Rattus norvegicus: one gene and its partners. The protein of the gene in region 1 purifies or fractionates together with the protein of each later gene. This does not show direct contact. Links are inferred from orthologs where the notes say so. Each region holds a gene or a part of one and is shown in the gene's direction. Other genes may lie near its edges.

The links.
Region 2: the proteins of Ibtk (region 1) and Rpp25l purify together in Homo sapiens (co-immunoprecipitation; 3 studies listed by BioGRID and IntAct, with this or other methods). This does not show direct contact. The link is inferred for Rattus norvegicus from reciprocal best matches to the Homo sapiens genes IBTK and RPP25L.
Region 3: the proteins of Ibtk (region 1) and Eif4a1 purify together in Homo sapiens (co-immunoprecipitation; 4 studies listed by BioGRID and IntAct, counting the BioPlex papers as one, with this or other methods). This does not show direct contact. The link is inferred for Rattus norvegicus from reciprocal best matches to the Homo sapiens genes IBTK and EIF4A1.

The regions. Positions count from the first base shown.
Region 1 is NC_086026.1:95,547,175-95,550,825, reverse strand, and holds part of Ibtk (inhibitor of Bruton tyrosine kinase), read left to right. Parts: coding exon 1-78; intron 79-1,659; coding exon 1,660-1,837; intron 1,838-2,779; coding exon 2,780-3,382; intron 3,383-3,651. UniProt on the Homo sapiens protein: Acts as an inhibitor of BTK tyrosine kinase activity, thereby playing a role in B-cell development. Down-regulates BTK kinase activity, leading to interference with BTK-mediated calcium mobilization and NF-kappa-B-driven transcription.
Region 2 is NC_086023.1:61,673,901-61,677,448, reverse strand, and holds Rpp25l (ribonuclease P protein subunit p25-like protein), read left to right. Parts: upstream 1-1,627; 5' UTR 1,628-1,675; exon of another isoform or gene 1,676-1,897; intron 1,898-2,280; 5' UTR 2,281-2,317; coding exon 2,318-2,809; 3' UTR 2,810-3,028; downstream 3,029-3,548. Other genes in the region: Dctn3 (dynactin subunit 3), read left to right, coding at 1-127. UniProt on the Homo sapiens protein: May be a component of ribonuclease P or MRP.
Region 3 is NC_086028.1:54,882,543-54,885,703, reverse strand, and holds the end of Eif4a1 (eukaryotic initiation factor 4A-I), read left to right. Parts: intron 1-275; coding exon 276-444; intron 445-525; exon of another isoform or gene 526-667; intron 668-765; coding exon 766-875; intron 876-965; coding exon 966-1,109; intron 1,110-1,185; coding exon 1,186-1,323; intron 1,324-1,408; coding exon 1,409-1,498; intron 1,499-1,538; exon of another isoform or gene 1,539-1,681; intron 1,682-1,740; coding exon 1,741-1,820; intron 1,821-1,931; coding exon 1,932-2,076; 3' UTR 2,077-2,611; downstream 2,612-3,161. UniProt on the Homo sapiens protein: ATP-dependent RNA helicase which is a subunit of the eIF4F complex involved in cap recognition and is required for mRNA binding to ribosome.

The DNA.
Region 1 (3,651 bases):
TTCTGTTTGTCACACAGGATGGGGAAGGATTTAAAGGGAAATGGTTTGAAGACAAAAGAAAGAATTCTGAAAAGAAAGGTCAGTTAGTATGACTGCACTTAAGTACCCTAGTCAGCCTTCGATGTGTTGGGTACCGCTCTGCTGACCTCTAAGCTGTGTATTTGTCTGTGTGGTTAGTTCAGCGCCTGTTTGCCACAGACTGTAAGGTCACACATGGCACAGGGCATGAGTGTCCCTCTCTGTCATTAGCATTTAATATATTCTTTGGCATTGTGGTCTTTCATTATGTCCTCTCGAGTCACTGAGTCACTTGTTATATGCTTAGAGTATCTTAAGAGCATTTATGACTGCTCATTGTTAGAAACGCTTCAAAATTATAAAGCATGAAATGGGGAGTTTTACATTATATTGATTTGTTGTGTTTTATCTTTTTATAGATGACTCAAGTCTGTAACCTGCAAGGTGTAAAAATATGGGATTGACAGCTTATAGAGCCAAGAGATACCTTTTATGTAGCGTTCCCTGAGACAGATAACTAATATAAGTACTCATGAGTTTCTTAAGAGCAGGGGATGGGAATAGCTGAGAGTTAGAGGAAACATGGTGACGTCCAGGAACCTGGAATAGACTGCCTTTGAGAGTGTAGCCAGAGTGTGGGTCTGTCTTGTAAGAAGACTTGCAAATCTTCAGAGTTTTTGCATCATTCTCTTAGTGGTCTGACACAGAGTCCATGATCTCATGCTTTTCTGTCCTGGTGACTAGCTATCTGTGAGACCCCGTCCCCTTCCCTTACATTTAGCAGGTACCACGTCATGTTACTCCTCTCTTAATTTACTAAAAAATATTTATTAACTTAATTTATGTATATGAGTACACTGTCACTATCTTCAAACATACCAGAACAGGATATTTGATACCATTATAGATGGTTGTGAGCCACCATGTGGTTCCTGGGAATTGAACTCAGGATCTCTGGAAGAGCAACCAGTGCTCTTAACTGCTAAGCCCCATCTTAATTTTTTTTTAATCATTCCTTTTCCCCTCTCCTGATTGATTGTATTAGTCCCAATCTATACCATTTTTTATTATTTCTGTTTACTTAAAGTAATAGTCTTTGTGTTTATTTTCTCATTTAAAATTCTACTGTTGCCAGAATAATTGTTATAGGTGCCATGTCTACATGGAAACATTTCCTACTTTGTTTTTATAGACTGGATCTGACTAGTTATTAGTCATACTTTTATTGCATGTTCTCAATACTCTTCTTAAGGATGGGGACATTTTGTCCTGACTCACAGTAGTGGCACAGTGTGGTCATTTGGGTATTTGCTCAGTGCTTGCAAGAGAATGGAGGGAATGTGTAGTGACACAGAGGTTCATACAGAATTAGTATAGGTAGGCATGCCCGTCTGAAAGTTAACTTCGGCTGCAGTGTGGAAGGTGTATTTGTTGGGAGAAGAAATTATGGCTAATTCTGGAAATTCTCTGTGTAATTACACAGATCGCAATGCTATGTTGAAGATGGAGAGGTTCTAAATTCTTTAGAAGAACTTCATGTGTATGAAAGATACTTTTATATTTTCACATCATTTTTCTATTCTAGTTACTCTAATTTCATTGCAGCCTTGATTAATGATAGTTCGTTTATTTTCTTTTTAGCAGACATTTTACCAAACCTACATCATTCCTCATCAGATGTGTCTTGTGTCTCTGATACAAATAGTGTGTATGAAAGAATTCGACTTGAGAAACTTCCTTTTGCCCATAGAGCTGTTAGTGTCAGCACAGATCCAAGTGGGTGCAACTTTGCAATCCTACAGTCAGACCCTAAAACAAGGTATAATTGTCTTTAATATATTATGTTTTTAGAAGGAATAATCATTAGACCATTTTTTTTTGTTCTTTTCAGTAGCTCCTGATGCATATTTAATTGAGGAGCTGTTATCAAGATCTGTAGAGACCGTCAGCAAATGGATATGGTACAAGAGCAATCAGTGGGGAGAGTGTGTCTTCCCCTTAGTTTATACCTGATTTTGAAAACATTGAAGACAAATGTGTATGCCCACATAGGATCTGTCTTTAGTCCATGCTATACTTGAGGTCTCAGGTTTTAAAGAATGTACTATAAATACTTCTGAGGTAGTGTGTAAAAGTTTCTGACTTTTGAATATGATAATTGACAAGAAAGAGGTCATGTGTATGGTCATGTGTTCTAAGTATACTAGGAGAAAGAGAAGAGCAGCACCAGTGGCATTGTTGAAGAGGGAGGAAGACCTGGATGTTGGGTGACCATCCATCCATTGTGGTTTGCCCAGGTCCCCAATTTAGCACTGAATGTGTCATAAGCTGGGAAACCTCCCAGTCTGAGGCAGAGTAAGGGCATTAATCACTTCCCTTGATAGTGATAGGGAGGGCATACAGCACTCAGGGTTGTAGACTGATCATATATATATATATTCACTTGCATGAGTAACTATGCCTTTTAGTTTTATTTGCTTAGTTTCTGTTATTTTCTCTCACATAAGTTATGTGAGAAAGGAAAAACCTGGGAACTTTTCTTGTTTTTATTGTTTTCAGTTGTTTAACCTTATGCAGACATGAGTAGAAAGATTGATAGAATATTTAACATTTTGGGGTTGATATTCTTGTATTATACCAAATGCCAGAATTGAATGTTTCTAAGTTCAATTTAAGTCAACCATTTCTTTTCAAGAGAATCAGTTTGGGATCCATTTTCTTGTTTTCATCATAGTAGTAATTATCTTTGCTTCATTTCTAGCCTTTATGAAATTCCAGTTGTGTCTTCATCCTCCTTTTTTGAAGAATTTGGCAAGCTCCTGAGGGAGACAGATGAAATGGACAGCTTCCATGACGTGACCTTTCAAGTTGGCAATAGACTCTTCCCTGCACATAAATACGTTCTGGCAGTGCGCTCTGACTTCTTCCAGAAGTTGTTCCTTTCAGATGGCACTCTTTTAGAACTGACAGATGTTTACCGGAAAGACGAAGATGCTGCAGGGTGCCATCTCTTTGTGGTGGAGAAAGTTCATCCTGACTTATTCGAATACCTCTTACAGTTCATGTATACAGATACCTGTGACTTCTTAACGCATGGCTTCAAACCAAGAATGATCATGAACAAAAAGTCAGAAGACTCTAAGGGCTCCCCAGAGTCTCGTCTGCATGCTGTGAATTGCCATGTGGATGATAAGCAGAAGTCAGCATTTGAGGTGTACAGAAGCAACCAGGCTCACACACTTAGTGAAAGGCAGAAGAGCAAACCCAAGTCTTCTAAGAAGGGAAAGGGTGTTGGGGAAGATGATCCTGTAAAGATGTTGCAAAATGTCGCAAAGAAGTTTGGCCTCAGTAATTTGAGTAGCAGGTACAGTTCCTCATCCTGTGCTCCCCAGCTTGCCTCTTTCAGACCTCCTTTGAAGCATGGTTGCTTGTGTTTCCTTTCACTCTCCTGTCTCCAGCTTCCCTTTGCCTCTGGGGTAGCAGTACATGGCTGCGCACCTTTCCCTCACTGCTGTTTTCTGGCAGTTATCACTCAGAGACTCCTTATTTAGATGAAAGAACAGAAAGGTGGCTGCTGGGCTCCAGTGCTGTGCGGGGAGTCTGTAGTGGAAGAGTGGCAGGTCCTGTTGTGTG
Region 2 (3,548 bases), on another chromosome or scaffold:
CCTTCAAACTCCTGTTGTCACCTTGACTTGTCACCAGACAATGCTTCTCTCCAAGCAGTTTGTGCAGTGGGACGAGCTACTCTGCCAGCTAGAGGCTGCCAAGCAAGTGAAGCCAGCAGCAGAATGACAGCTGCTCCCCATGTCCCCACCAGGGGAGGTAGGCAGGCTCCAGGGCCTTCCACCAACCTGTCTTTATAAGGCAGAGACAGCTTTGCCTCTGAATTCAAATACTACCTGTCTGTGTTCAACTGGGGGCTCTGAGGTCAGAGGTCAGCTTTACCTTAGGGTCATGATTTGTACTCCCTGTCAAATGTATTTATTTCAGTGACAATAAACCATAGAGACCACTAAAGCAATGTGTTGGCTTGCTGATACAGGATGGGCTTGGCTGTGAGGATCTGGGTGGTGAAGAGGAGAGCTGCCAACCCCATGGGATGGGACCAGGAGCTATACCCCTGATCTGGTTTGCTGAGAGATAGAGTTCTCTCATCATTTGACTATACAGCGGGGCATTGTATATTTATTTATCTTATATTTGCCAACTACCCTCTAAATATCACATCCTATGGTAAGTAAGGAGGGCATAGGCAGGGACAGCTAATCTCTACACAGGGTTTGGGGAAGACCAGGTAGGCCTGCATGTCAGGTGGTCCTGGAGGAGCAGGAATGGACGTTCAGAGCCAAGGCTGCACTGCCTTGTGTCTACATAATACCAGTAGCCAGAGGAGGAGCCCAAGATGTAAGAAATTTTAGGATCTTGAGAGGAGGAAAATCAGGGTACATTGATGAGAAAACAGGGAGAAACAGTACCGCGCTCCACCCGGTGTATGCTGCCCTCTTGTGGTCTGAGGGAGTGCCTTAGCTCCTTCAACTGCCTGTAGAGTTGCTTCAGCCCAACCTGTAGAGTTGCTGGCATCCAAAATGCAGCGTATCCAAACGGATCTGAAACTGGCAGTCATCCTAAACTATTCTACCCGAATAGTCACCCGCGCGTCCCCAAAACTTCATACAAGTTTCTATCAAGTTTCTACCACCTCTTCTCAATTCTTGCTGTTTCGGTGGTTAACACCTCATTGGACAAATATCGGAGGGCCTATTTTTACCCTGGATACTGGACTAGGCTCTGTGCGCACGCCCCCGTGGCCGAAGCGCTATGATGATGTTGAGTACAGCCCCTTCCCAGGGTCACCAGTATCTGTTGCCCCCACTACCGGATCCGCCATGCTTATAAACCAATCCTCCGTGGCCAATGAGTTATGCACAAGCTATGGCTTAGACCTTACTGAAAACCGCCGGGGTTGATCAGTGTCCCAGGATGAGAACAAAGCTCAGAACTCCGTAACTAAGGGTCTTGCCTGCTTGTACCCACCACGGACGTCGCCTTCGCTGCTGTGCCATCCATCCTTTAAAGGCACAAATCTGCATTCTTCAGGACTCCTCCGATAGCTGTTGCTCTCTCAGGTGGGCCTTCTGCAGGTGCCGGTGTGTACCGCGGACCACTGCGCTGACGCTCGAGGCCGCCCAGGTGACAGCATCAGCTCCTCTGAGTCGAACAGCAACCCGGGTTTCCCTCAGGTCCCGCCCCCTGCGTGCGCGGCCCCGCGGCTCCGCGCGCTCTCGGTCTGCACGCCATCTTGGCTACCCGGTGAGGGTTGAGCGTCTTCTGGCAACGGTGGTAAGAGCCAAATCCCAGGGAGTGGGGACTCAGAGTTAGGGAAAGGGGGATACCTGCTGCCTGGGACAGCGGCCCACGATCGGGGAGTCCGCCAACCGCTCACGAGTGGCCCGAGCAGCTCTCCGGGGAGTCCTCACCCGCGAGTTCCCGAGTGGCCCGGTTCAAGCTAGCCTACTCAGTTAATCTGGGAGTGAGGTCTTCTCTGCCCCCCACACACCGTAGGTGAGACCGATCCTTTCTTTGGGGAGTACTTTGTGAGGGTTCATGGCTGTGCCCCAGGGTCCTTGAAGCCCAGTGAGGAGAACCTGCCTGTTCTTAGAGAGTTGTGGGCCTGGGGTCTGGGACCTAGCCCCGGAGAGCTTGAGATGATGAAGCACAACCCTACCCCAGAGAGCCTAGTTTTTGGGAATTTGTTTTTGTCAATGTTAGAGACTCGTGGATGTATTTAGAAAGGGGTAGATAATTCTCGGCCCCAGCCTTGAAGTGCTGGGGTGAGGGTGTAAAAGCACTCTCCGTGGTGAGGAACAGGACCACATTCTGGAGGGAGTGATGGAGGATGGTCCATGTGATCATGTTCCTGCCACTCATCTGACTCTTTCCCGCAGTGTATATCCAGAGAGTCACCAAAGGCTCGAAAGCAGAATGGAGCACTACCGGAGGGCTGGCTCTGTAGAGCTCCCAGCCTCATCACCAATGCCCCAGCTACCTCCCGACACGCTGGAAATGCGGGTCCGAGATGGGAGCAAAATCCGAAACCTACTAGGGCTGGCACTGGCTCGTTTGGAAGGAGGAAGCACAAGGCACGTGGTGTTCTCAGGCTCCGGCCGGGCCGCTGGAAAGGCCGTCAGCTGTGCAGAGATTGTCAAACGGCGGGTTCCGGGCCTACACCAGCTCACCAAGCTTCGCTTCCTGCAAACTGAGGACAGCTGGGTCCCAACTTCACCGGACACGGGCCTGGACCCCCTCACAGTCCGACGCCATGTGCCTGCAGTGTGGGTACTGCTTAGTCGGGACCCCTTGGACCCCAGTGAATGTGGCTACCAACCCCCAGGTGCACCTCCTGGCCTGGGCTCCATACCTAGTTCCAGCTGTGGTCCCAGACCCCGAAGGAGGGCTCGGGACACCCGGTCCTGACGATCTGCTGGACCTGACTGTACTCTAGACCTGAGTATCTGTGCCTTCTCTAAGAAGTGCTTGTGATTGCTCACCATGCCAGCAGAGTCCACAGAAGAACTTCCCCTCCTCTCTGGAATGAGGGGTGGAACTGTTAAAAGCACTGGTGTGAGCGCAAGGCCCTGGGTTCGGTCCCCAGCTCCGAAAAAAAGAACCAAAAAAAAAAAAAAAAAAAAAAAAGCACTGGTGTGGGTCCGGTCAGTGCTGAGTTAAAGACTGCGTGAGGAGAGCTTACTCTGCCTCTATAGTATGTCTGACTTGCCTTTTCTGACTAGGGAAGGGAAATAAAGGTTGTGCCGCTTTGTTTGGCCTGCGTGTGAGTGGGGCTTGGCTTTATCCCAGGAGCTCCTAGGCTGGAAGCAGGAAGGATACAGAGAGACTGGCAGTGGATGACGGATCTGGTCTCGATGAAAGTTCTAGCAGTAGTAACCTGGATGGCTTCTTGCCGCCTGCTTTAAGCTGGGTTGGGACTCAGCCAGTTGTCCCATCTGTGGCATGCGTATGTTTTAGTGTAGTGGGATCATGAACTCAGCCTTGGCGGTTCAGGGTTTTGATCCTGGTTCTCCTACTCCCAAGTTACTGCTCTGTGGTTTTGGATAAAAGTTCCTTCTCTGGGTCTTAGCGCTCTCATCCAAAAAGTGGGGGGGTGAGGTGCTTACCTCGTTAGAGCTGTGAAGCTTAGAACGAGGTGCACACATCT
Region 3 (3,161 bases), on another chromosome or scaffold:
TCTCAGCCTTTGGAATGGAGTAGTAGGATGTAGTGTGAGTTGTTTGTAGAGCTGGCCTGGTTTTTATGAGGCTGCATGTAGAGTGGGAAACTTACTGTGAACCTGTGTGGACGGATCCAGCATTGCCATTTGGTGGCGGTATTGGTGGTGTTGGAAGAGGATTAAGTGGATTCCTGTTTCTCAGTTGCTAAGAGTGGGATAATTCCTGTCTGTAATAAGAAAGACTTAACTCACTGGTACTGCCCAAGTTAATGTAGATGCCTTTCTACATTTAGATTCAAAAGGTGGTTATGGCACTGGGAGACTACATGGGTGCCTCTTGTCATGCCTGTATTGGGGGCACCAACGTGCGTGCTGAGGTGCAGAAGCTGCAAATGGAAGCTCCCCATATCATCGTGGGCACCCCTGGCCGGGTGTTCGATATGCTTAACCGGAGATACCTGTGTGAGTGCCATGGAACAGTTGTTGGGCTCTTTTCTACATTTCATTTCCTTGGATGAGTTTTCCTTTAGTTGGAATTGAGTTGCTCTGTGATGAACCCCATGCGTGTCATCTGAGCCTGGCTTCCCTGTTAACCTTAGCCCAGGTAGTGTTCTACTTACCAGGGCTTTTGCATGACCTATCAGGGAAGCCGAGGGCAAAGGATCAGTCCTTGCATTCTGAGAGCAGACTGTCTGCCTTCTGCCTGCCTTATCAAGAGACCTCAATATATTTCACATTTGTCTGATTACTATATGTTGGGGTTTTTTTTTTCCTGCCATCTAGCACCCAAATACATCAAGATGTTCGTCCTGGATGAAGCAGATGAAATGCTAAGCCGTGGGTTCAAGGATCAGATCTATGATATATTCCAAAAGCTCAACAGCAACACACAGGTAAAACAGATGGTGTTGGAGGGACGGTGGCTCGGTTGTGATTTGATTGTACAGTGCACTCAATCATGGCTGGGGCATTTTTCCCACTAGGTAGTTTTGCTGTCTGCCACAATGCCTTCTGATGTCCTTGAGGTGACTAAGAAGTTCATGAGAGACCCTATTCGGATTCTTGTCAAGAAGGAAGAGTTGACCCTGGAGGGTATCCGCCAATTCTACATCAATGTGGAACGAGAGGTGGGGCCCAGTGCAGGAGGCGGGCCTGGTAATAAGTGTTGGGTATAGCTCCTGATTGATGTTTCCTGATCTCCAGGAGTGGAAGCTCGACACATTGTGTGACTTGTATGAAACACTGACCATCACCCAGGCAGTAATCTTTATTAATACCAGAAGGAAGGTGGACTGGCTCACTGAGAAGATGCATGCCCGGGATTTCACAGTTTCTGCCATGGTGAGTTTTCTCAGTCTTGTTAATGATAGATGTGTCTTTGTGTGTTAGGAGCCTTATGCTAGCTGCTCCTAACCTTGTTTTCCAGCATGGAGATATGGACCAAAAGGAACGAGACGTGATCATGAGGGAGTTCCGGTCTGGCTCTAGCAGAGTATTAATTACCACTGACCTGTTGGTGAGTAGATGCTCTTTTAAGGAAAGAAAGGGAGAAAATAGCCCAAGGTGATTCCCTCTCCAAAGGGCTGACTATGTGCCCTTTTTAGGAACGTAGCAACTTGGAAGAAAGCCAGGCATGTCCAAGGTCTCTGGGGAACAAGGAATACTTGTTTCCTTTGCCCTCCTTTGGCAGCCTACATATATGCTTACTAAATTAGGGTTGATAGTGTCCTCTGATGGCTTTATTCTTTCTTGACCTAGGCCAGAGGCATTGATGTGCAGCAGGTCTCCCTAGTCATCAATTATGACCTTCCCACCAACAGGGAAAACTACATCCACAGGTATTTACCTGGTCTGACAGATCAAACACTCCCTGTGCTTAAAAAAAAAAAAACACGTTCCTTTCCCCAACCTAACGCCTTTTTAAACTAACCTCCCCCCCCCCCCCCCAGAATTGGTCGAGGTGGTCGGTTTGGCCGGAAAGGTGTGGCTATTAACATGGTGACAGAAGAAGACAAGAGGACTCTTCGAGACATTGAGACTTTCTACAACACCTCCATTGAAGAGATGCCCCTCAACGTTGCTGACCTCATTTGAGGGGCTGTCCTGCTACCTGGCCCTAGCCCAGGGTTCAGTCCTGGGGGCAGGGCTGAGGAACAGCTGGAGGGGGGAGGGAAGGGAGCCAAGGGATGGACATCTTGTTTTTGTTTTTTTGTTTTGTTTTTTTTTTCTCTCTCTCTCTCTCTTTGAATAAATGTCACTTTTTGAGGCAAAAAGAAGGAACCGTGAACATTTTAGACACCCTTTTCTTTGGGGTAGGCTCTGCCCCAGGCGCCGTCTCCTTCCCCCCCAAACACTAATGCATTTCCCTAACCTAATCACCTCATTCCTAAAGGCTTTCCTACCCCAGCCAAATCTCCAAAAGTGAGTCAAGGGGCTAAAACATGGCTGGCCTCATTTGCTGGACCAAATCTACAGGGAGAACCCCCTGAATGAGGTTGTCCAGGGACTTGTCCCCAGGTGAGGGGAGCAGGGGAGAGAAAATGGTAGCCATTTTTACATTGTTTTGTATAGTATTTATTGATTCAGGAAACAAACACAAAATTCTGAATAAAATTACTTGGAAACTGCCTGTTTGGGCTTCTTGTTTCTTCCCTTCCCTCTCCTGCAGTTACTAGTGTGGTTCAGCTGCCCCTGCACTAGTTCTTTCCTGAATTTGCCATGTTGCTTCCTGAAATACCAAATGACCCACACTACTGAAATTTGGTAGTGGGCTTTAGCACAAGACACAAGTGTCACTTGCTCCCAGTTTTGAAAAAGTAGTAATGGGTTCAAAGACTTCAACTGGGTGTTAGTCATAACCCAAATGTGGGTGCTAATTACCTTGGGTTCTGTAGCCCTTGCTGTCCTGCGGTTATATAGGCCAAACTGGCCTTTTGGGTCTGCTTGCTGCCTTACAGTGCTGGGATTGAAGCACATGGGTGAGGGTGAATTTCTTACCAATGAGGAAAAGGCTTCCTGTTTGCCTGCTTTGTAAACTGCCAAGTAGAGCAAGTTTTGGCTTAGGTAAGTTCCGTGTGAGTCAACTGCCTCATCCTCACATGGTAACTAAGACTACCGCCCACTGAGAAGGCCACTACCAATCAGTGCTTAATTGTGAAAACATTTAAATTACTTTAGCG